2 linked regions of the Coturnix japonica genome follow. The protein of the gene in region 1 interacts with the protein of each later gene in a biochemical or structural test. Links are inferred from orthologs where the notes say so. Each region holds a gene or a part of one and is shown on either strand. Other genes may lie near its edges.

The links.
Region 2: the proteins of ANXA1 (region 1) and S100A11 form a complex in vitro, tested with the Homo sapiens proteins (2 studies listed by BioGRID). The link is inferred for Coturnix japonica from reciprocal best matches to the Homo sapiens genes ANXA1 and S100A11.

The regions. Positions count from the first base shown.
Region 1 is NC_029547.1:32,380,486-32,391,387, reverse strand, and holds the end of ANXA1 (annexin A1), read right to left. Parts: intron 9,990-10,902; coding exon 9,933-9,989; intron 9,556-9,932; coding exon 9,462-9,555; intron 8,882-9,461; coding exon 8,786-8,881; intron 8,051-8,785; coding exon 7,992-8,050; intron 7,116-7,991; coding exon 6,993-7,115; intron 5,679-6,992; coding exon 5,619-5,678; 3' UTR 5,309-5,618; downstream 1-5,308. UniProt on the Homo sapiens protein: Plays important roles in the innate immune response as effector of glucocorticoid-mediated responses and regulator of the inflammatory process. Has anti-inflammatory activity.
Region 2 is NC_029540.1:872,444-883,552, forward strand, and holds S100A11 (protein S100-A11), read right to left. Parts: upstream 5,133-11,109; 5' UTR 4,891-5,132; intron 4,781-4,890; 5' UTR 4,585-4,780; coding exon 4,582-4,584; intron 3,668-4,581; coding exon 3,518-3,667; intron 3,279-3,517; coding exon 3,126-3,278; 3' UTR 3,001-3,125; downstream 1-3,000. Other genes in the region: COPA (coatomer subunit alpha), read left to right, coding at 8-76, 296-432, 838-1,024, 1,108-1,218, 1,428-1,589, 1,689-1,883, 2,192-2,251. UniProt on the Homo sapiens protein: Facilitates the differentiation and the cornification of keratinocytes.

The sequences.
Region 1 (10,902 bases):
CAAAAGATGATCAAAGAACCAACAAGAACTTACTTCTCCTCTAAGGTATTCAGAAATAATACAGAAGCATCCTGATATACTGATGTGTAAAGAATGGCTAAGAAAATTATTCTAAAAATACTCGTGGAACATTTTCTACCTGTATGGTGTTTGTTTAGCCTGAGGACAGGCTGAGAAAGCCAGGGCTGTTCAGCGTGGAGAAGACAAGGCCTCAAGAAGACCTTGTAAGCATTCAACAACATTTTTTCACTGGCAATTTTTGAAATGAAGATGAAGGGAGCTTATAAATAAAAAAGAAATAAACTTTTTTTACAGAGAAAATGACTGAAAAGATAGTGATAGTGATAGTGATAGTGATAGTGATAGTGATAGTGATAGTGATAGTGATAGTGATGATAGTGATAGTGATAGGAAAAAAAATAAATAAAAAATAAAAGGAATGGTTTTAAACCAAAGGAGGTAAGATTTAGATTATTTGTCAAGGGAGAAACTTTCACTGAGAGGGAAGTGAGGCACTGGAGCAGGCATCCCAGAAACATTGTGGATCTTCCTAGAGGTGATCAAGGTCATGATGAAGGATGGAACTGATCATGAAGGATGGGCAAACTGATCTAGTGGCTGGCAACCCTGCCCAAAGCAGGGAGTTGGAACTAGATGGTCTCTAAAGGTGCCAGCTAATACCAATCTACCCCAATTCGTTCTTTGAGTCTATGAATCCATGTAAAACAGACTGATGCCTTTGTCCCTTTACACTGGGCAAGCACAGAGGGCATCTTAGCTGTAAGAATCTCTAACATTCTATTACAGTAACTTCAGATGTGTGTTCTTATCCCAAATGTTTTATTTTTTTCAAATCTCTTGATCAGTAATCTGAAAAATATCTCAGAACCTTCTTTGTTTTATATATGCCACAGAAAGCCAGGTAGTAGGGCACACAACTGTCTCACAAGTGTAGGACTTGGTTTAAACAAACATTTTCCTTCTTCAGATTTATAATTACACTGATACATTGGTAACATGTTTTAAAAGATTTTTACTGAGTGTCCTAATGCTTTTCTCTGCCTTGCTGCTCTGGGAAATCTTTCAATAATCCCCTTAACTGTGAATCAGGTAGTCCTGTTATCTTTTCTCATCTTATTTCTACTTAAAACCAGAGCTAAAGATACTGAGGAAAAAAAAATAAAAGGTTCAATTTTCTGTAATAAACTGTTCTGAAACTGATCTGGTTTGGGTCTTGTCACTCTGACATCCTGGAAAGCAGTGTATAGATGTGCTCTTCACTTGTGTAAGGCTGAATTCTCGTCGTAATGTATTCACTTGTCATTGTTCTCATGTTACACACAGGGTGGCACCAGAGTTCAAAGTTTTGGAAACAACAGAGGAAAACTCCAGACACCTCTCACAGTCTCGTGCAAACTTAACATTCAGGCCTGGCTGAAAGAAGGGCATCCACAGTGGAAAAAGAAATGGGAGAATATGTCTCAGGTGATGAAGAGAATGGATCAGAAAAACTAGCAATTTTATAAACGTGGCATGCTTTACATGTTCAGTGTTTTTTATGAAGCACCGATAAAATATTTACCATGATTTGAAAGAATGTTTTTTCCAGTATCATAGTCTCGTGCGGGTTGGAAGGGACCTTAGAGATCATCGAGTCCAACCCCCCGGGATTCGAGCCTCTGTGTAGCAGAGCGGCATTCCTACCACTTGCGCCATCGGGGCACACACAGTACCTTCTAGCTTGAGCAAAAATCCCAGTCTTTTAGAAAAGTTTTTCCTGTTCTGTATCACTAGAGACAGAGCATTACTGTACAAGGTTACTTTGAATCTGTGTTCTCAGAGCACTTTTTTACTTACAGGCTGCCACTGTATGACAATGAAAAAATTGACATTCTAGTTCTGTTTTTCTTTTTTGTTTGTTTGTTTGATTGATTGTTTTGATGGTCATTTAATTGTTAAAGTTTGTTTGTTTATTTGTTTTTTAATTGTTAGAGGCTTTTCTTCTCCTTTGTCCCACTTTCTTCCCACAAATTACTTTAAAATAATAATAATAATAATAAGGAAAGTTTTAGCATGCTTTTCATTATGGCATTTCCCGTGACAAATTTATAGGCATTTTCTTTTCTCTTAATTTTAGCTTTTACTTCTCCTTCATAAGCTTTAAATAGCTGTGCTACCATTTCCTTGAAAGTCTTAAGTGAATGCAAAAAGCCCAGTGCCACTGAAATGCTACTATATGTATTCCCAAGAGCATATCTGGCTGCCTTCATAGTGTAACAGTAGTATCCCCTGTTGCCACTAGATTCTTTATTTTTGCAGTCACTTGTGCATGACTTTCTCCACATCAGAAGAATTATTATAGAATTCATACACTGTGCTTCACCAGTAGTTGTGTAAATTCCATTACAAGCAAGTTCTCACCCTAACATCTTGAGTACTCTGCAGTTATTTGCAGTCTAAATGCATTTGATACAATGTGGTAGATGTTTCGTTTGTTTGTTTTGAAGATAGTTTAGGAGGAATCAATAATACCATTTTGTTTTCTCATCTTCTTTTTTTATTTTATTTTATTTTTTTCTTTTTTTTTTTCTTTTTCCTTTAGCCAGTACTTTATTTCTAACATTGATTAATAAAGTGGCAGCAGAAAACATGGAAGCAAATTTGTTGGTAGAACTCTATGGACTAATCGACACCCAAAATTCAGCACAAGAAGTAGTTAACTATTGAGTGGAGTCCTTAGGATCTATGTTTCAAATTCATTAGCAGACATTATATGTCAGATTTTGTCCTTTGTTTAGGTGTAAAAGCAGGAGGAACAATCTCCTTTTACCTGTCTTACGTATAAACTTATCTGCATTTAAAAATATTCTATCTAAAGTGTCTTATATTTAGAGCTTAGCTTAATTTTCTCTTTTGATGCACTTAGTAATTGGCACAGAAAACACGCTCGTCGATTTACTGCTTGTTCTCTCTATCCCCACTTGCTTGTGCACCATAGCTTCTTTGGACAGACTGCCCTTTCTAAATGTCAGGAAATTACTTAAGCCCTTAGGTGTTTCTTTAACTGGAACACTTAATCATTGTTATTATTTTAAAAGAAATATTCCCCATCTCTTGCTCTGACCATTAGGAAATGTTTTCACAATGAAATGAGTGGTGCAATCAGTCTGTTTCACAAGTATTAACAGAAATCCTATATTTTTCAGTACTTGAAAATAATTTTGAACTGTAAAGTTGGATGCAAATTTGTCTTGGAGATTCGAAGTAGAGACAATACATACTAACAGTAAGGATGCTTGTGAACTGGCCATATGTCAAAAGTGTTCTTCTTTTAAAACTTCCCTTTAAACAACATCAATAAAAAAAATAAAATTAAATTAAAAAAAAACTTTTGAAATTAATACTCTCATTGTACAGAAAGCTTTGCCTCATGGACGGAAATCAAAGGCTAAAAGAATTTAACTGAATGCAGCAGTAGTTAACCTATGATTACTCATGACATGCAACTACATAGACATACGGCAATCCCTCTTCTTCAACAAAAACAGTATTTATATTTGCAGAAATGGGACCAAACAGAATATACTCAAAACGGTGCCACTCTTGACCTTACTAAAGGCACATGTGAAAATCTATTGAAATGTCTTACAATTAGGAGAGCTGTTGGAATTTAGTAGTGCAATTTAATCATTTCCTTCTGTTCCCCAGATCTTCAAATACTCAGCTAGCAAGTACTCCTCTTTGTAATGTGTTTGACTTCATACTGTTATCTCCTCATTTGCACCTAAAGAGACTTCCAAGTGCTCACTTCTTCAGATATTAAAGCTAAATAGCAAGACCAGGCTTGCTACTCTTGAGGCACATCTGAACTCTGCAAAACAAGACTGGAAAAAGCCTGCTTAAGATACGTACAAATTTACTACCAATCCTCAAGCTATATTATTTTTAAAGAAAAAGTAGCTTTTTTTGGGTGCGTTTTTTGCGTCTTTTGACTTTCCTGCTGAATGTACATACCTGTTGAAAAACAATTATTTCCTACGCTGATGAAATCAGACTCTAACCTTCTGCAGAGCTGAAACACCTCTCAATTTCAAAATAACCTATGTTTTGCAAGAAAGAGTCTCCTGATCAGGCCTAATAACTGACTTCTTAGAACTTAATTAGTTATTAACTAACTACAAACTACAGGTTTACTCTCTTTTTTTTCAAGGTGTGTTGAATTCTCTGGACACCTGCCTCTTAAGAAAGTGAATCTTTCACTAGTGACACAATCAAAACATACAGAGTGGTTTGTTCTGCTTTTCTCTGAAGCTTGTCAGTTATTAAGTGAGATATCTTAAACATAATTTGTGTGTGTTTATCTGTTTCGATGTTTCTCTGCTTTAGTTGACAACCATTATGTTTATTTCCCATAAGCTCTTTTGCCTGACTATCCTATGAAGAAACAAGAATTATGACCAGAGTTAACTATAGTAGTATGGGTATATGCATCTTGAAAAATACATAGGGTAGTTAAGAAAAATGAAAATAGCTGTCTCCGTGAAAGATATGTGGGAATATTCTATCCAGATGTCCTCATTCTAATATTTTCTTCTATTAAAAAAAATTCAACTTTTCCAGATATCTATTTCTATTATCCTAGATCATTCCAGTGTGAAACTGACAGCTTGCAATTTTTATCACAGAACAGCCAAGGTGATCTCTGATTTCCCAGTAGCTAAGTCTGCTGTTCAAAGGAATATTTGGAAGCCACCCTAAAAGAGACCACCAAAGTTTGTACAAAACTAAGAATCAACAAGCCTAATTCCACCAGTGCACCTGGGGTTTATAACTACCTCATTAGTTATCTAAAGCCTGGACAGTGACACAAAACAGAAAAAATAGAGGTAATAATAATAGAGGTAACAATAGCAGGTTTTCCATTTTGGAAATACTGTATAAGACCACCAGGAAAAAAGGAAAAAAAAAAAAAAGATCATGAACTGTAATCACTTCTTCCTTTTTTTTCTTTTTCCAACATAGAAACTATAATTAATATCTTTAAAGAGTAAATCAAATATAACTTTTTTTTTCATGTATTAACATTTTTAACAAGTCACTTTCAGTTAATTTTTAACATCTGAGTTCCATAAATCCTTGCTGAAGTGAAAGAAAAAAGTACAAAATCAACAATACTCTGATACTGTTATATTCTGTTTTGACTATTTAAATAATTAACTGTTTTGTTTTGTTGGTTTTTTTTTATTATTTCATGTACTGTGTGTAGACAAGCTGATAGGAAATGAAGAAAAAAAATGAATCTACAAGCAAAATTCACAGAGATTAATTTTATTTTTTTAAAGTTAGTTTGATTTTCTTAGATGAAAACTTCATTCTTTCATGATTAATTAAGCAAATAGAAACTTAATGATATTTGTTGACTTTAGATAAATAGTGGTAAAAAGATTTATTCATTCCATACAGAATACATTCAGAGTTCCAGGTTTTCTACATAAAAGCTGAATACTAAGTACAATTCCAAAGAAATCTCACTGTGTGAAGCCTGTATATTATATAGGCAGCTAAGGCTAATATAAACACCTTCAGCAACAGGACTTGAGTGCATCAGAGCAAGATACTTATTTATCACTTCCACATAAAGCCACCAGGATGGTTTCATAATCCCCTTTGAGTTCATCCTGTCAAAGTATAGAGAAGTACAATTGTTAGGATAATGGTCACAAGCAAAATCAATTTCAGTACATTTACTAAACATATGATATTCACATAAATAAATTCATCATTTTACAACATAATCCACAGCATGAGCTTGAACTGAGTACTCTCACTGAAGTGAACTATTCATTTCCCAGACAGGAGTAAATGTAAACAAGACTGACAAAAAACAAAATAAAATGTTTCTAGACATAAATGAAAAAGAGAAGTAGGAAATAGACAGGACTTAAATGTCCAGGAGGTTAAGTTTTCCTTCATTACACAAAGTGAAAATGCCTTCCTTGATCAGTGACATCTAGTGTTCATTCATACTAAAATACTACACATGTTCATTCATACTAAATCCAGTGTTCATCTGCACTAAAACATGATGAACATTTTATCTATGATTGTATGAGCCATTAATAGTCCAGTGATACTGGATTCACCAAAGAATGTCTTACTCAGCCATGAGAAATAGATAACTCACTGAAATTTGACATGCTATGTTTTCTCAAGTTTGAATCTATCGTACATATACTAAAGTATTATATACTGCAGACAACCTAGGCCTTGAGTCATTTGGATACATTCACCATTTTGATTAAGATGGTGATATTTCATAGAGAATTACAGATAACACACAATCATAGTGGAAGAATAAAAATGGTCTCCGTCATCTAAGTGAAAAAGAAGCCAACACAAGCTAAAATCAAGTAGGTACTTTAGTACATGTAGAGACTATGTTTTCTGCTCTCTTCCTTAATCATTAGCCTCCACAAGGGTGTTCTGCAGGTTTAGCTTTCTTCTAGTACCTCACTTGCTTCAGTTTTCTAGGAAATAAATTGAGTGGACTGTCTCCTTTAAAAAGATATTTTAGACAGTTTATCTCATTTTAACTAAGTAACCTGGAAAGCAGGACAAACAGACAGCAACTTAATAAGATATTTGCAGGAGTATTCAAACATGAAAAGAGCCAAATGCACACAGTTTACCTCACTAAGTTGTAAGATCGATTATGTCCACCCTCCCACTAACATGCTTTGTCTGCCCAAGTCAGGAGCTTGGGAATAGATTAATCTTTCAACTTTTGGTATCTACTATAAGATAACCACAATTAGCCAAAAAATTATAGCTTTTGCAACAAAAATATTGCACCATAAAGTAAGTCAGTTCTACCAGCATATGGATCTCTGAGAACATGAGTTACTCAGCTATGCATTATTCAGATAACTGAAAAGCATAAGAATTATCAAACATTTTTTACCATTCTGTAGCTCACTCAAGAGAAAACCTACCATAATTGCTTGGCGAAGAGATATACCATACAGACTCTTATAATAAGCCTTGATCTCATTCAAGTCTATTTCATGGCGTGAAACCATGATTCTGATTAGCTGTTTGTGTCGTGTTCCACTCCCCTGTAAAAAGTAATGAACAAATAAACAAAAATTAGTGCTATTTAAGTCATTGAAAAATTTTCCTAATTAAGATTCTTTCTGTTAATCCATATTTTTATTTATATTTTTATCAGTACAAAGGTCCGATTTCTCTAAAATATTTAGTCCACTCATATTGAACCTTCTAGTTCCAGTGTGGTTAAATTTTGGTTGTCTCCACCCTTGGACTTCTTCTTATGAATTTGTTTCATTTGCTTCCTAAAAATACACAAATCTTTTATCATGCTTGCTGAAAACCAGGGACAAGCTAGATTTCGCTGTAGTGTATTTTTGAGGTGAGTTTATTATTATTTATTTGTTTATTTATTTTAGTGAACTGTTATTTTCATGATTCTCCCAGCTGGTCATGGACCAGTCAAAGCTGATCCTTATCAAATCACAGGCGTTACATAAATTCCTGCATAATATACTGCTTCATGAGCCACATGAGCCGTAGTCAACTCAGGATCCAAAACAGTCAGATGTTTTGCCAAAGATTAAGCTCTTACAAGGTTCCCCTCCTGATCTATAGCTGCTTTCCTATTTCATTATTACCAATATTTTAGTGGTTACAAAAAATATGAAGACATTCAGTTAGATTTCTGTTACAGCGCAGAATATAAGATGTATGTGTGAATGGAGGGGTGCCTTCCTGAATACACACTGGCAAATCAACAGTTCTTTCTATGGAAGGACACTCAGAAATTTCAAAGGAGTGAAGTCAGGCAGAATCACATTGGATTCTCCTCTGCAGTCTCATTTTTATTACACAAAGATCTTGGAGATATCTAGCTCTATGTTTGATTTTTCCATTCATAAAGCACCCCACGAACACAAGAAGTTCTTTCTCAAGGTTACCTTCATTGCCAAGTGGAGTTTTTCAGCAAAGAAAGCTGGCTTGCTTGTGGCACACTTCACTATAATGAGACAGTGGAATTACTCATGTATATTATAAATGTAGAAAGAAACAAAATCAAAAACTGAAGAGAATTCTTAAAATATCTCAGTGTTCTCACTAGATACACAGATAACCTGTTTATTCTTTCACTTGACTTCAAAATATGGGAGAAGTAGCAGTTCCTTTCCTGTATCTGTTCAGAAGGCAATTCAATCACAGAAGAAAATTCTACTTTCTCTAAAGTCAGGACTGTACTTCCAAGCCTGCTGTCACAAAATGTAAGATGTTGCAGTTCTTACAAAGAAAAAACATGAAAATTCAGGTTCTCTACAGCTAAGCTGGAGGTTATGACCTGATATTTTGTAAGCACTTCACATCTGATACTAAGAGAGATCTCATTTGTTTTTATCCAAAGAATGCTCGACTGTGATGCAAAAGAGAAAAACAAGTTGAGGGTCTGCTTTCTTATCCCATCCCTGGTCCAAGAACAACAAGTAATTTAAGAGGTTCACCTTACTGCTCATGCAGGTAATTTTGAAGGTTTTAATATACATCTTTATCATGAATCCTATAATAGTACTTTCTTGAAGAACACCATTAAAGAAAATATATTATGTTTTTAATAACTATACGTAGTTAATGTCTTGCTTCCCAGTGAAGATAAACCAAAATGGTTTTCCATTACTATGAAGTAAAAGTTAGTTTTTCATACAGTCAGCATACATAATAACTTATTACCCACAGAAGTACTTACCAAGGGCAGTCAGACAGTTTTCAATATCACCTTTCAGCTCCAAATCAAGTACTTTGTTCATGTCATGCTTGCTGTATTTGGCATACTTCTGAAAGACTAAATGAGGGAAGAATACTCAGTGAGGAGTGATGAAAATATAGTATTCTCATTCAAAACTGACCTTGTTATTCTGTCTGTACTGCTATGGCAATGAACAAACATGACTGGTTGCAGTCCATCTTTATCATTTCCTTCAGCTACCACAGTGTAAACAAAAGCAGTACTGTAAGAGCTGATGATGTCAACATGAGGAAGAGAACTGTGCTAGGGTGTGGAGCTCATTTTCACATTAGCAGAAGAAGAGGTGATACAGTTATTCCACTGGAACCTGTACAGTTTTCTCACTGAGGGCAACCTGGTTTAAGGAGCTGCACCATGTGTTTGGAACCCAACCACACTGATTCACTCTTCTTGTGTTCACTAGTTTTGTGAGTAACATTTATGTTAATAAACTAAGTGATACTGCTCTTTACTAGAGTGAAAAGAATGGCAGAGTGGCCAACTGCGCCATTAGGTCATCAAGCATAACCTTCATAGCAGTCTTCTAACATCTTGGAAATCTACATAATCTTTGAATTTATGAGCAGGCCATGTTCAAAACACAATTCCTGTAAGGAAAAAATTTCACACATCCTACCCCTTCGAAGATGAGGGTAGCTTCTTGAAGTAAGAATGGTAATAAACACACTGACATCCGCCCCTTTTCTTTTCTCTCCTGCTTCATATAAGGCCTGCCATAGACACAAAAAATAAACTTTAAAAAAATAAAATTAAATTAAAATGGTAAAGTTAACATTGGTATAGTAAAACCCATATAGAAATACTGTATTCCTGAGGATTATTTGCTCCCAATACTGACCTCTACCTTAAAAGCTACCGTAAAAGACGTTTTGCAACATTTCTGAAGTTGGCTATTTAAGTTTTCATTTCAGCTAGCGCACCTCATGAACTTTGGAAAATAGCACCCCTCAGAAAATATTGCTACATAATATACAACTGTTTGTCGAGTTTGCATTGCACAAGTGGTGAGACAGAACATTCACAGCCTGGCAGAATTTGTAATAGTGTCAAGTAAAGAAACTCTGCTGAGTGCTAAGTGTAGTCTTACCCTGGCATCATTGTCAGCAAGATCATCATTCACATAAGGATCTTCAGTTCGGTCACCCTATATAAAAATAAGAAAATCCACTGTTAGTTAAAATAATCCAGTTCAGTAAAATTCAGTATTTTAGAGTTCTGATCTGCCATATTCATCAAGAACTCAATATAGAACTGCAGACAGCTGCAGTTATGTTAGTTATTCTGTGAGTAAGCTGACATTTTTGTTAACCAATCAGAGCTCCCACTTCTGGGGCCACCAACAGTGTATTTCTGAAATCATACATTAGAATACATTGATATGAGTGTCTTAATGTGAAGTTACAATCTTTAAAGCTGTGGCACGCTGTCTGATGACCACTGAGTAGACTTCTTCCAAGGTGATTTAAAAGGAAAACAAAAAACCTAAACCGTGCATCATAAAAATAATACTATGTATGTACACAAGAATCATGTACACATACTCAGCAGTGTTGGCACCAAATATTCATGTATTCTAAAAAGTTATTTTTACTTCTTAGCTCCCATTCTTCAACTGAACTGCTTTCAAGCATCCATTCACAGTACATACATACATACATACATAAAATATGTCAATTTATTAGAACCCTGAAACTACCTCACAGGAAAAGCATTTTAATGGGTAGCCAAAAAGGTTTAACAGGTAGCCAAAATAAGCATTTATTCCTTTTATATTTCTAGTCAGTAGATATTCTAGCTGTTTTCTCAAGTCCTAAAAGACAGCTATCACTGAAAAAACTTAAACATCAAATTAATAAATTATAATAAACAACACATATACATTTCTTTAAAATCTGTCTGAGATAGAACTTATTGTAGCTTGTTGAAGAATCTTTGCATATGATCTATGTTATATGAGAAAAAAAGCAGCACAACAAAATAAATAATAATTAAATTCTTATTTATTTCACAAGTTTAACATAATCCTGACAACATTACTGCTAATGTCACTGAAAATG
Region 2 (11,109 bases), on another chromosome or scaffold:
CTTGCAGGTGTGGTGTAACAATTCACAGCTTCCTGTTGACCACATTCTGGCAGGTTCCTTTGAGACAGCAATGAGAGTAAGTTACACTTGGTGTTTCTGGGGGGAAGGGAGAGGGGAAAAAAGGTGCCCTTGTCCCCTTCTGTTTTTGTCTCTGCCCTCTGAAGCTTTGTTCTGTGAATCATTCTGTACATTTCTTTCTCTGGATGTAAATTAAGAGGGTCTGTGAGCCTGAGTGGTGTCTATGCAGCTTCCTTATGGCTCTGGACAAGTCAGTACATCATTGTATCCCTTTCAGCTCCTCCATGACCAGGTGGGAGTAACGAACTTTGGACCCTACAAGCAGCTGTTCCTGCAGACTTACGCCCGTGGCCGTACAACCTACCAAGCCCTGCCATGTCTCCCTACCATGTATGGCTACCCACATCGCAACTGGTAAGCAATATTGGGTTAGCTCCTCTTCTGTGCTCTTTTCCTGTTGCCATATATCCACAAGTCTTCAACAGTTATAGCCCAAATTAGTTAGGTGTTCTACCTCTGCTAGTCGTCTGAAGGTTGGGACATCTAAAGAAACATAGATGTGTATTTCTACTGTGATACTGGGGAAACTGCAGTGGAAAAATAAGTCAGACTTTTCCATCCTGTGTTAATGCAGCGAGAGCTTGGCATTGAGGGTGACAACTGTGGAAGCACAGGTGTTGTTTATGCTATGCTAATGGTCAAGAACAGCACAGCTCTAGGTTACAGTGCCATTAAGTTGCAGCTGTGTAATGCTGGTGTGTACTGGCTGGCCTCTGTGTTACTCCTACTTCTACTCCATCCCTTCTGTGGTGCCTCTAGGAAAGAAGCTGGCATAAAAAATGCCCTCCCAGCTGTTGGGCTGAAGCTCAATGACCTGATCCAGCGCTTGCAGCTGTGTTACCAGCTCACAACAGCTGGCAAGTTTGAAGAGGCTGTGGAGAAGTTCCGCTCCATCTTGCTGAGTGTGCCCTTGCTGGTGGTGGACAATAAGCAGGAGATTGCTGAGGTGAGGGGTAGACCTCTTCTGCCTATTGTCAGTGTGGCTATGGGGCTGGAGGCCAAATGCCTGACTGTCTCCTTCTCTCAAAGGCCCAGCAGCTGATAGCCATTTGTCGGGAGTATATCGTAGGGCTCTCAATGGAGATCGAACGGAAGAAACTGCCTAAGGAGACCCTGGAACACCAGAAGCGAATCTGTGAGGTACAGAAGCTGAGTGTCAGAAATAGCCTTTAGGTTTGAAATAGGCATTGGGAATCTTCTATTCTGCCACTTCTTGCCTTCAAAAACAGATGTGGCAGTGATGAACTGGGAGAAGGTTGTGTGTTTTTGGTCTCATTTTCAGGGTATCCAGTTACTTACTTGGTTGGTTGTGACTGTATCCTTGCTTTACCTCCTTCTCCCTGATGCAGATGGCTGCCTATTTCACCCACTCCAACCTACAGCCTGTCCACATGATCCTGGTACTGCGCACTGCTCTCAACCTCTTCTTCAAACTCAAAAACTTCAAGACAGCTGCTACTTTTGCTCGTCGTCTGCTGGAGCTGGGGCCAAAGCCTGAGGTGGCCCAGCAGGTATGTCTGTGTTGCATGGCCTTGAAACACTATTTGTAGTAGACTCTATTTAGTCTGCTTTCTAGTTCCCCCTCTGAATGATGTGGTTGCTTTTTGCAGACCCGCAAGATCTTGTCGGCATGCGAGAAGAATCCCACTGACACCTACCAGCTCAACTATGACATGCACAACCCCTTTGACATCTGTGCTGCCTCTTACCGACCCATCTATCGTGGCAAGCCTGTGGAGAAGTGTCCACTCAGTGGAGCTTGCTACAGCCCTGAGTTCCAGGGGCAGATCTGTCGTGTCACAACAGTAAGGGAGTTTCTGTTGCTACTCACTCCTATCTAGCCTGTGTTTTCCTCGAGAATTCCTCTCCAGTAGCTTCCCCCTTGCTCCTGAAGTGGGTTTTGGATCAAGTTGGTGGGCAGAGGACTTAATATTTGAGGTGGAGCAGTTTGGAAATTACAAAATACGACATAGCTTAGATACTGCCTTCAGAGCCTGACATTGCAAGGATGAGCATAGTTCATTGTGGGAACCATCCAGGCTCTCCGTGTTGCATACGGGATTGGGTTATTCTGTTAGTTTCAAGCATTAATCATCACCCTTTCATTCCTCAGGTGACAGAGATTGGCAAAGATGTCATTGGGCTGCGGATCAGCCCCCTCCAGTTCCGCTGAGCTGTGTGCCAGTCCCTGGGAGGTGTGAGTTCAGAGGAAGATGGCCCTGTTTCTCAGCATGATGTGGAAGCTTTCACCTCCCACCATTCCAGCTTCTAGTCAACTCCCTTCACCGTAGCTATACTTGTGTTGTGTCTTAACTGCTCTTCTCCACCCAGAAGTGCTGTAGCAAAGCTCTCTGCTGGCAGTAGTAATAACTTAGGATCCCCTTTCAGATCCAGCTGATGTTGTCTTTGTGTACCATTGTTTTCAGGCATATATTTTCCAGAGGGTATAATGATGTGGCTCTTGCCAAGACCTGGATATGCTACAGTGCACTCAATAGGAACTGCTTGCCTCTCACACTCATTAGTGTAGGGTTCCTTAAGGATCCTATAGTACCTGGATGGCAGGAACCAGCTGGGTGTGGCTCTCATAGGAGTGTGGCACTGTCTGAAACTGGAGCCAGCACATCACCCTCAGAAGTGACTGGAGAGCAGCTCAGCACCCAAGTGTTTGTGTTGACTGTTTTGTTGTCCTAGCAGCATTTCTCTGCATAATCTGCCTCTGACATGAATAAAGTAAATTGACTGCCTTGATCTTCCTGTTCTGTAGCTTAGCTCTTAGATACTACATTATACTTCCTCTTTCCACATCACCCACCCCATCTCCTTGTGTTGTTACGCTGCCAGATAGAGAAAATTCTCTTATTTCCAGAAAATAGAGGCTGCAGTTGCTTGTTATTTTCTCTGAAATAAAGCAAGGCTTTATGATAGGATTTTAAACCTTTATTCATAAAAACAAGGAGTTAGGGATGTTGTGATATTGTTTCCATATTTGCTAGGGTTTATGGTTGAGGAATGTTCACAGTGGGGGTGAGATGAGGCTGCTTGGATTAGGGGCGAGGAGGTTGAATGAGCAGTGCCTCATGGCAGGCCACTGCAATGCCTCCTATGAGATTCAGGAACTCCTGGAAGTCCAGCTGCCCATCGCTGTTGAGATCAAGCCTCTTCATCATCCTGTCCACAACACCAGGGTCCTTCTGATTCTGCAAGAGACCAAAAGATGGGATCGATGCTTACCTGGAGAAGGGCACCCCCAGGTATGGACCTGAAGCTGTTGAATTCAGCCCTAACACAGCCTTGGCAAAAGGAGCAGAATCTATTTGGGGGCAGTGCTGGGTCAGATTGTGTTCTGCTCATGGAAATCAGGGCTTTCCCCTGTACTCTGTGGTACAGACAGAGGTTTTCAATGCCCTGGGAGTGTCCTGGCTTGGCTTTCACTCACCTTTGTGAAAGAAGCCAGCTCGGTGTTCATGAAAGCCAGGAATTCCTTCTTGGAAAGCTTGAGGTTGTCTCCTTCACGCCCTGCGTACCTCTGAAAGACGGCCAGCAGCGACTCGATGCAGCGCTCGGTCTCGGTGGGGGAAACCTTGGACTGCAAAGCAGAAAGGAGCTCAGGTTGTGCCTACAGCTTGCTCTGCCTTTGCAAGAAGGGTCGTGTGTCTCCTGGAGAAAAGGCTCAGGTCCGCCTGCCCTCCATTGTTTCCTGTATCCAACCTGTCCAGCTGCATTTTTCTTTGGTATTCATTTCTTTCTTGCTTAGCACAGCCCTGTGGTGAGGAGGGATGGGAGTGGTGCAGTGCAGGGAGTGGTTGTGGCTGTTCCAGGGCCGCAGCGGCTCTTGGGAACTTAAGGAACATGGAAACTCCCTTGGGGAACCATCAGTTGACATAGGGGTGAGGGCAGCTGCCTCTTCCTAGAGTCTTGCTGCCTTCCTCTGTGCTCTCCAGCCCCACTTGGCTGTGTCCCTATGTCTATCTTCCCCTTCTCCCCATCCCCCTTCCCCTGCACTGTCTGGTCATTGCAGAAACTCTGAGTCACTGGAGAAAAATGTGAGCGGGGCTGGCACCCAACTGCAGCCAGAACATGGGGAGCTGGATGAGGGTTAAGCCACAAAGTGAGAGCAAGAACAGGGATGTGGGACCTTTCCTCCCCAACCTCAGCATCCTGGGGCTTCCCTGCCACATCCTGCACTGCCCGAGGCCCCATTCACTCCTATATGTTGGCCCTGCCCCACTGTACTTCCACTGTCTCAGCTCTCGCTTCCTCTGTATCCCCCACCCTGGACCCGAGCTGCAGCCCCCAGCACAGGGTCTAGGAAGGACAACAGATGGAGCAAAGAGAAAGCTTGCTGCAACCCCACAACCACGGGGGGACCCTCTGCTCTCTTCCCCTATGCCCAGACCCCTCCCTAAGAGCTTCAGCTCAGCTTTTGGCACTGTTCGCAGTGCCACGATGCATCTCACGTCGGTTCTGCTTCCACCCCCCCCCGTCCTAATGCTCACTCACCATGGCTGGGGTTCAGGGCTCGGTGCGGTGCTCGCTATGCGGTGCTCAGTGCTGTGCAGCAATTGAGGGCGGTGTGAGCCTCGCCCAGCAGCGCCCAGCCCTGGTTCAGCCCTCCGGGGCCACGTTGGGCAATAGGCGGCTGTAACGGCGGATCGGGACGTGCCTGCGGTTCCCACCTCGGGCCGGGCTCCTCCCTTCCCTTTTACGTTGTAGTTTTTGCAGTTATCATGCTTCCATTTTGTTTTCTCTATTTCTTTCCCTCCCCTCCTCCATCCCCTCTCCCCCCTTTTTATCTATTTCGCATCATACCTCTCTTCTTTTAGGCTTAGGGCTGAGCTCCTAATGCTGCCCCTCTACTCCTTGCAGCATCCTTAGGCTTTGCTTTCAATTTGGGCACCCTTGAAGGCAGCTTCCCCCTTCTCACTGCCCCAGTATGCCCTGTTATGTGTTCCCCCCCAATGGGGTGCAATGGAGCTGCTTAGAGCCAGGATGGGGGGCTGTGGGGGTCAACTGAGAACAGGGGGAGCACCCAAAGCTGCTTGGGCATGTTGGGTGCACCCACGCCTGCTTGGGAATTCCTGCTGGAAACTGTGATTCAGAGCAGGGGAAAGGAAAGCAGGAAATGGGTGGGGAGGGGCCCTTCCCCACCTGATTTCCCTCATTTATTGCCCCCACATGTTGGAAATGAAAATAAAATTGCTTTTTCCTTTCTCTTTTAGCAACCCCTGCCTAGATTCAGTGCCAAGGAGAGATCTGAACTGAGACACCCTCCCACCATACTGAGCGCCTGTATAAATGACAGATGAGAACAGCAGCAGGCAGTGCAGTCATCAGCTATTTATTGTGATTTTTTTCATGCAATACATCAGCGTGAAGAAGAAACCCCAATGCACCCTCCACCACCATTTCCCTGCGGTACCCACACAGAGCTCAACCACTTCAAAGCCTCCGTGATGCTGGGGCTGGGATTCTGCTCAGCTGCTGGGAGAGCAGAAAGGTGTGACCAAACACTTGGAGCCTACAGAGGTGTTTTCCCAGCCTTGAGGAATTTCAGGCTCCGTGACTACAATAAGTGAATGGGATTTTTGTTTGTGCAGTGCACAGCAGAAGCTGACAAGCTGCAGAGCCAGCCATGGTGGGGGGGTGGAGAAAAAGAGAGCACTGAGCTGCAGAGCTGTCATGCCACAGGGCAGAAGAGACTACAGGAGCACAAAGGGCTGAGACCCAAGGAATCCAATTAGAGCAGGAAAGTGACTAAATACTGCAGTGGGGAGGGGAGGGGGGAAGCATAGACATAAGGAAGGCAGGCAGGAGCTGCTGATCCTGGTATAACTCTACCTGTCTGCCTTGCTGAGGGTTTGTCAGGAGGGGAACCCCCAAAGCATCTCACCACCTTGCAGAGCACCCCTTTACCCCTTTGTGTTGAGCACTAATGTGCCACCATGTAGTCACATCTAAGTGTAGGGCAAGGAGATGCTCAGAGGAGCTACAGATGGGATAACCCCTCAGAGTGCCTTGGCCTCATCCCTTGGTGCTTGTGGGGCCATGGGGCTGCATTCCTCCTCATGTTGAGGCTGAGTGGTATTCTCTTGCTGGGAGCTCCTTTTGCTATTTTCTTCCTGCAGCTCTGGAGCCTGGGCTGGGGGTGGACGGCTCTTGGCCTCTCTGTTTTTGTTTCCTCGGGATTCAGCTTCCTGTGAGACTTCCTCTCTGGTGGCTTTTGGTCCATCACCCTTCTCTTCCACATCATGCACTCCGGGACTCTGGTGGTCCCTCCTGTCTTCTCTGGGCTCATCCTGGCTGGCATCACCATCCAACTCAGGGGCAGAAGTTTGCTGAGCCCCTTCCTTCACCCCTGTTGCAGACCTTTCCTGAGTCTCACCTTTCCTAGGCTCCTGGAGCTCCCTTGTATTTTCCTGGGAACTGGAAGATGGCAGATGCTGTGGTTCGGGATCCAGGACACTGATTTCTTTGCATGGTCCGGCTGGTGGCTGTGGTGAAACATAGCATTTCCTTACATAGACAGGCTGCTCTGAGTCATTGGACTGCTGGCAGATGATCTCATACGTGGTAGCTTTGGGATCATTCAGGTTCTGGATAACATGGATCAAATACGCGATGGTCTGAGGATCACAGGGCTCAGGGACAGGTCTCCTGGCCTCCAATCCTCTCTCCCTTTTTTGGGTCTCACGGCGGATGTCCACATCAACTTCAGCTTCAGCCACAATGTCCTCCCGTGTTCTCTCACGCCTCACTGATTCACCAGGTCTCCTGGACTCATCTTCTCTCTCACGTTCTCGGGATACACGGCTGATCTCTACATCAACTTCAGCTTCAGCCACAATGTCCTCCCGTGTTCTCTCACGTCTCACTGATTCACCAGGTCTCCTGGACTCATTTTCTCTCTCACGTTCTCGGGATACACGGCTGATCTCTAAATCAGCTTCAGCTTCAGCCACAATGTCCTCCTGTGTTCTCTCATACCTTACAGACTCCTGTGGTCTCCTGGCATCCTCTCTCTCCCTTTTTCGGGTTACACGGCGGATCTCCACATCCCCTTCTACTTCAGCCACAATGTTCTCCCGTGTCCTCTCGTACCTAGCAGATTCACCTGGTCTCCTGGCCTCCCCTTCTCTCTTGCGTTCCTGGGTCACACGGTGGATCTCCACGTCTCCTTCTAGTTCAGCCACAATGTCCTCCTGTGTCCTCTCACGTCTCACTGATTCACGGGGTCTCCTGGGCTCCTCTTCTCTCTCACGTACCCGGGATACACGGCGGATCTCTACATCAGCTTCAGCTTCAGCCACAATGTCCTCCCGTGTCCTCTGGTACCTGGCTGATTCTCGTGGTCTCCCGGCCTCCAACACTCTCTGCCTTTTTTGAGTCTCACGGTGGATGTCCACATCAAATTCAGCTTCAGCCACAATGTCCTCCCGTGTCCTCTCGTACCTAGCAGATTCACCTGGTCTCCTGGCCTCCCCTTCTCTCTTGCGTTCCTGGGTCACACGGTGGATATCCACGTCTCCTTCTAGTTCAGCCACAATGTCCTCCCGTGTCCTCTCACGTCTCACTGATTCACGGGGTCTCCTGGCATCCCCTGCTCTCTCACGTACCCGGGATACATGGCGGATCTCTACATCAGCTTCAGCTTCAGCCACAATGTCCTCCCGTGTTCTCTCATACCTCACAGACTCGCGTGGTCTCCTGGTGTCCTCTCTCTCCGTTTTTCGGGTCTCAAGGCGGATGTCCACATCAACTTCAGCTTCAGCCACAAGGTCCTCCCGTGTCCTCTCATACCTGGCAGATTCACATGGTCTCCTGGAATCCTCTGCTCTCTCGACTTCCCGGGATACATGGCGGATCTCCACATCAGCTTCAGCTTCAGCCACAATGTCCTCCCGTGTCCTCTCATACCTCACAGATTCACCTGGTCTCCTGGCCTGCTCTGCTCTCTCGACTTCCCGGGATACATGGCGGATCTCTACATCGGCTTCAGCTTCAGCCACAATGTCCTCTCGTGTCCTCTGGTATGTGGCTGATTCTCGTGGTCTCCTCGCCTCCAATCCTCTATTCCTTTTTTGGGTCTCACGGCGGATGTCCACATCAACTTCAGTTTCAGCCACTATGTCCTGTCGTGTCCTCTGGTACCTCACAGACTCACGTGGTCTTCTGGCATCCTCTTCTCTCTCGCGTACCCGGGTTACACGACGGATCTCTACATCAGCTTCAGCTTCAGCCACAATGTCCTCCCGTGTTCTCACATAACTAGCAGATTCACCTGGTCTCCTGGCCTGCTCTTCTCTCTTGCGTTCCTGGGTCACACGGTGGATCTCCACGTCTCCTTCTAGTTCAGCCACAATGTCCTCCCGTGTCCTCTCACGTCTCACTGATTCATGGGGTCTCCTGGCATCCTCTGCCCTCTCCCGTTCCCGGGATACACGGCGGATCTCTACATCAGCTTCAGCTTCAGCCACAATGTCCTCCCGTGTCCTCTCATACCTCACAGATTCACCTGGTCTCCTAGTCTCCTCTTCTCTCTCACGTTCACGGGATACACGGCGGATCTCCACATCTACTTCAGCTTCAGCCAGAATGTCCTCTTGTGTTCTCTGGTACGTGGCTGATTCTCTTGGTCTCCTGGACTCCAATACTCTCTCCCTTTTTTGGGTCTCACGGCGGATGTCCACATCAGCTTCAGCTTCAGCCACAATATCCTCCCGTGTCCTCTCATACCTCACAGACTCACGTGGTCTCCTGGCATCCTCTCTCTCCCTTTTTCGGGTTACACGGTGGATCTCCACATCTCCTTCTATTTCAGCCACAATGTCCTCTCGTGTCCTCTGGTACCCGGCTGATTCTCGTGGTCTCCCGGCCTCCAATACTCTCTCCCTTTTTTGAGTCTCACGGTGGATGTCCACATCAAATTCAGCTTCAGCCACAATGTCCTCCCATGTCCTCTCATACCTAGCAGATTCACCTGGTCTCCTGGCTTGCTCTTCTCTCTTGCGTTCTTGGGTCACACGGTGGATCTCCACATCTCCTTCTATTTCAGCCACAATGTCCTCTCGTGTCCTCTCACGCCTCACTGATTCACGAGGTCTCCTGGCATCCTCTGCTCTCTCACGTTCCTGGGATACACGGCGGATCTCCACATCAGCTTCAGCTTCAGCCACAATGTCCTCCCGTGTTCTCTCATACCTCACAGACTCACGTGGTCTCCTGGTGTCCTCTCTTTCCCTTGTTTGGGTTACACGGCGGATGTCCACATCAACTTCAGCTTCAGCCACAATGTCCTCCCGTGTCCTCTCATACCTAGCAGATTCACATGGTCTCCTGGCATCCTCTGTTCTCTCCTGCTCCCGGGATACACGGCGGATCTCTACATCAGCTTCAGCTTCAGCTTCAGCCACAATGTCCTCCCGTGTCCTCTCATACCTCACAGATTCACGAGGTCTCCTGGCCTGCTCTGCTCTCTTGACTTCCCGGGATACACGGCTGATCTCTACATCGGCTTCAGCTTCAGCCTCAATGTCCTCCCGTGTTCTCTCATACCTTACAGACTCACGTGGTCTCCTGGCATCCTCTCTCTCCCTTTTCCGGGTTACACGGTGAATCTCCACGTCCCCTTCTACTTCAGCCACAATGTCCTCCTGTGTCCTCTCACGCCTCACTGATTCACGGGGTCTCCTGGGCTCCTCTTCTCTCTCACGTACCCGGGATACACGGGCGCGATCTGTCCACATCAGCTTCAGCTTCAGCCACAATGTCCTCCCGTGTTCTCTCATTACCTCACAGACTCAACGTGGTCTCCTGGTGTCCTCTCTTTCCCTTGTTTGGGTTTACAAGGCGGATGTCCACACTCAACTTCAGCTTCAGCCACAATGTCCTTCCCGTGTCCTCTCATACCTAGCAGATGCATCTGGTCTCCTGGCGCCTGCTCTGCTCTCTCGACTTCCTGGATACACGGCTGATCTCTACATCGGCTTCAGCTTCAGCCACAATGTCCTTCACCGTGTTCTCTCACATACCTCACAGACTCACGTATGTCTCGCTGGTGTCCTTCTTTCTCCTTGTTTGGGTTACACGGCGGAATGTCCACATCAACTTCAGCTTCAGCCACAATGTCCTTCGTGTCTCTCACATACCTAGCAGATGCACTTGGTCTCCTGGCCTGCTCTGCTCTCTCGACTTCCCGGGATACACGGCGCTGATCTCTACATCGGCTTCAGCTTCAGCCACAATGTCCTCCCGTGTTCTCTCATACCTCACAGACTCACGTGGTCTCCTGGTGTCCTCTCTTTCCTTGTTGGGTTACACGAGCGGATGTCCACAATCAACTTCAGCTTCAGCCACAATGTTCCTCCACGTGTTCCTCTCCATGACCTAGCAGATGCATCGGGTCTCCTTGCCTGCTTGTTCTCTTGACTTCCGGTACACGGCTGATGCTCTACATCGGCTTACAGCTTCAGCCACAATGTCTCCATCTTCTCTCATACCTCACAGACTCACGTTGGGTCTCCTGGCATCCTCTCTCTCCCGTTTTCCGGGTTACACGGTGAATCTCCACGTCCCCTTCTACTTCAGCCACAATGTCCTCCTGTGTCCTCTCACGCCTCACTGATTCACGGGGTCTCCTGGGCTCCTCTTCTCTCTCACGTACCCGGGATACACGGCGGATGTCCACATCAACTTCAGCTTCAGCCACAATGTCCTCCCGTGTCCTCTCATACCTAGCAGATGCATCTGGTCTCCTGGCCTCAACTACTCTCTTGCATTCCTGGGTCACACGGTGGATCTTCACGTCTCCTTCTACTTCAGCCACAATGTCCTCCCTTGTCCTCTCACGTCTCACAGATTCACCTGGTCTCCTGGCCTGCTCTGCTCTCTCGACTTCCCGGGATACACGGCTGATCTCTACATCAGCTTCAGCTTCAGCCACAATGTCCTCCCGTGTTCTCTCATACCTCACAGACTCATGTGGTCTCCTAGCATCCTCTCTCTCCCTTTTTCGGGTTACATGGTGGATCT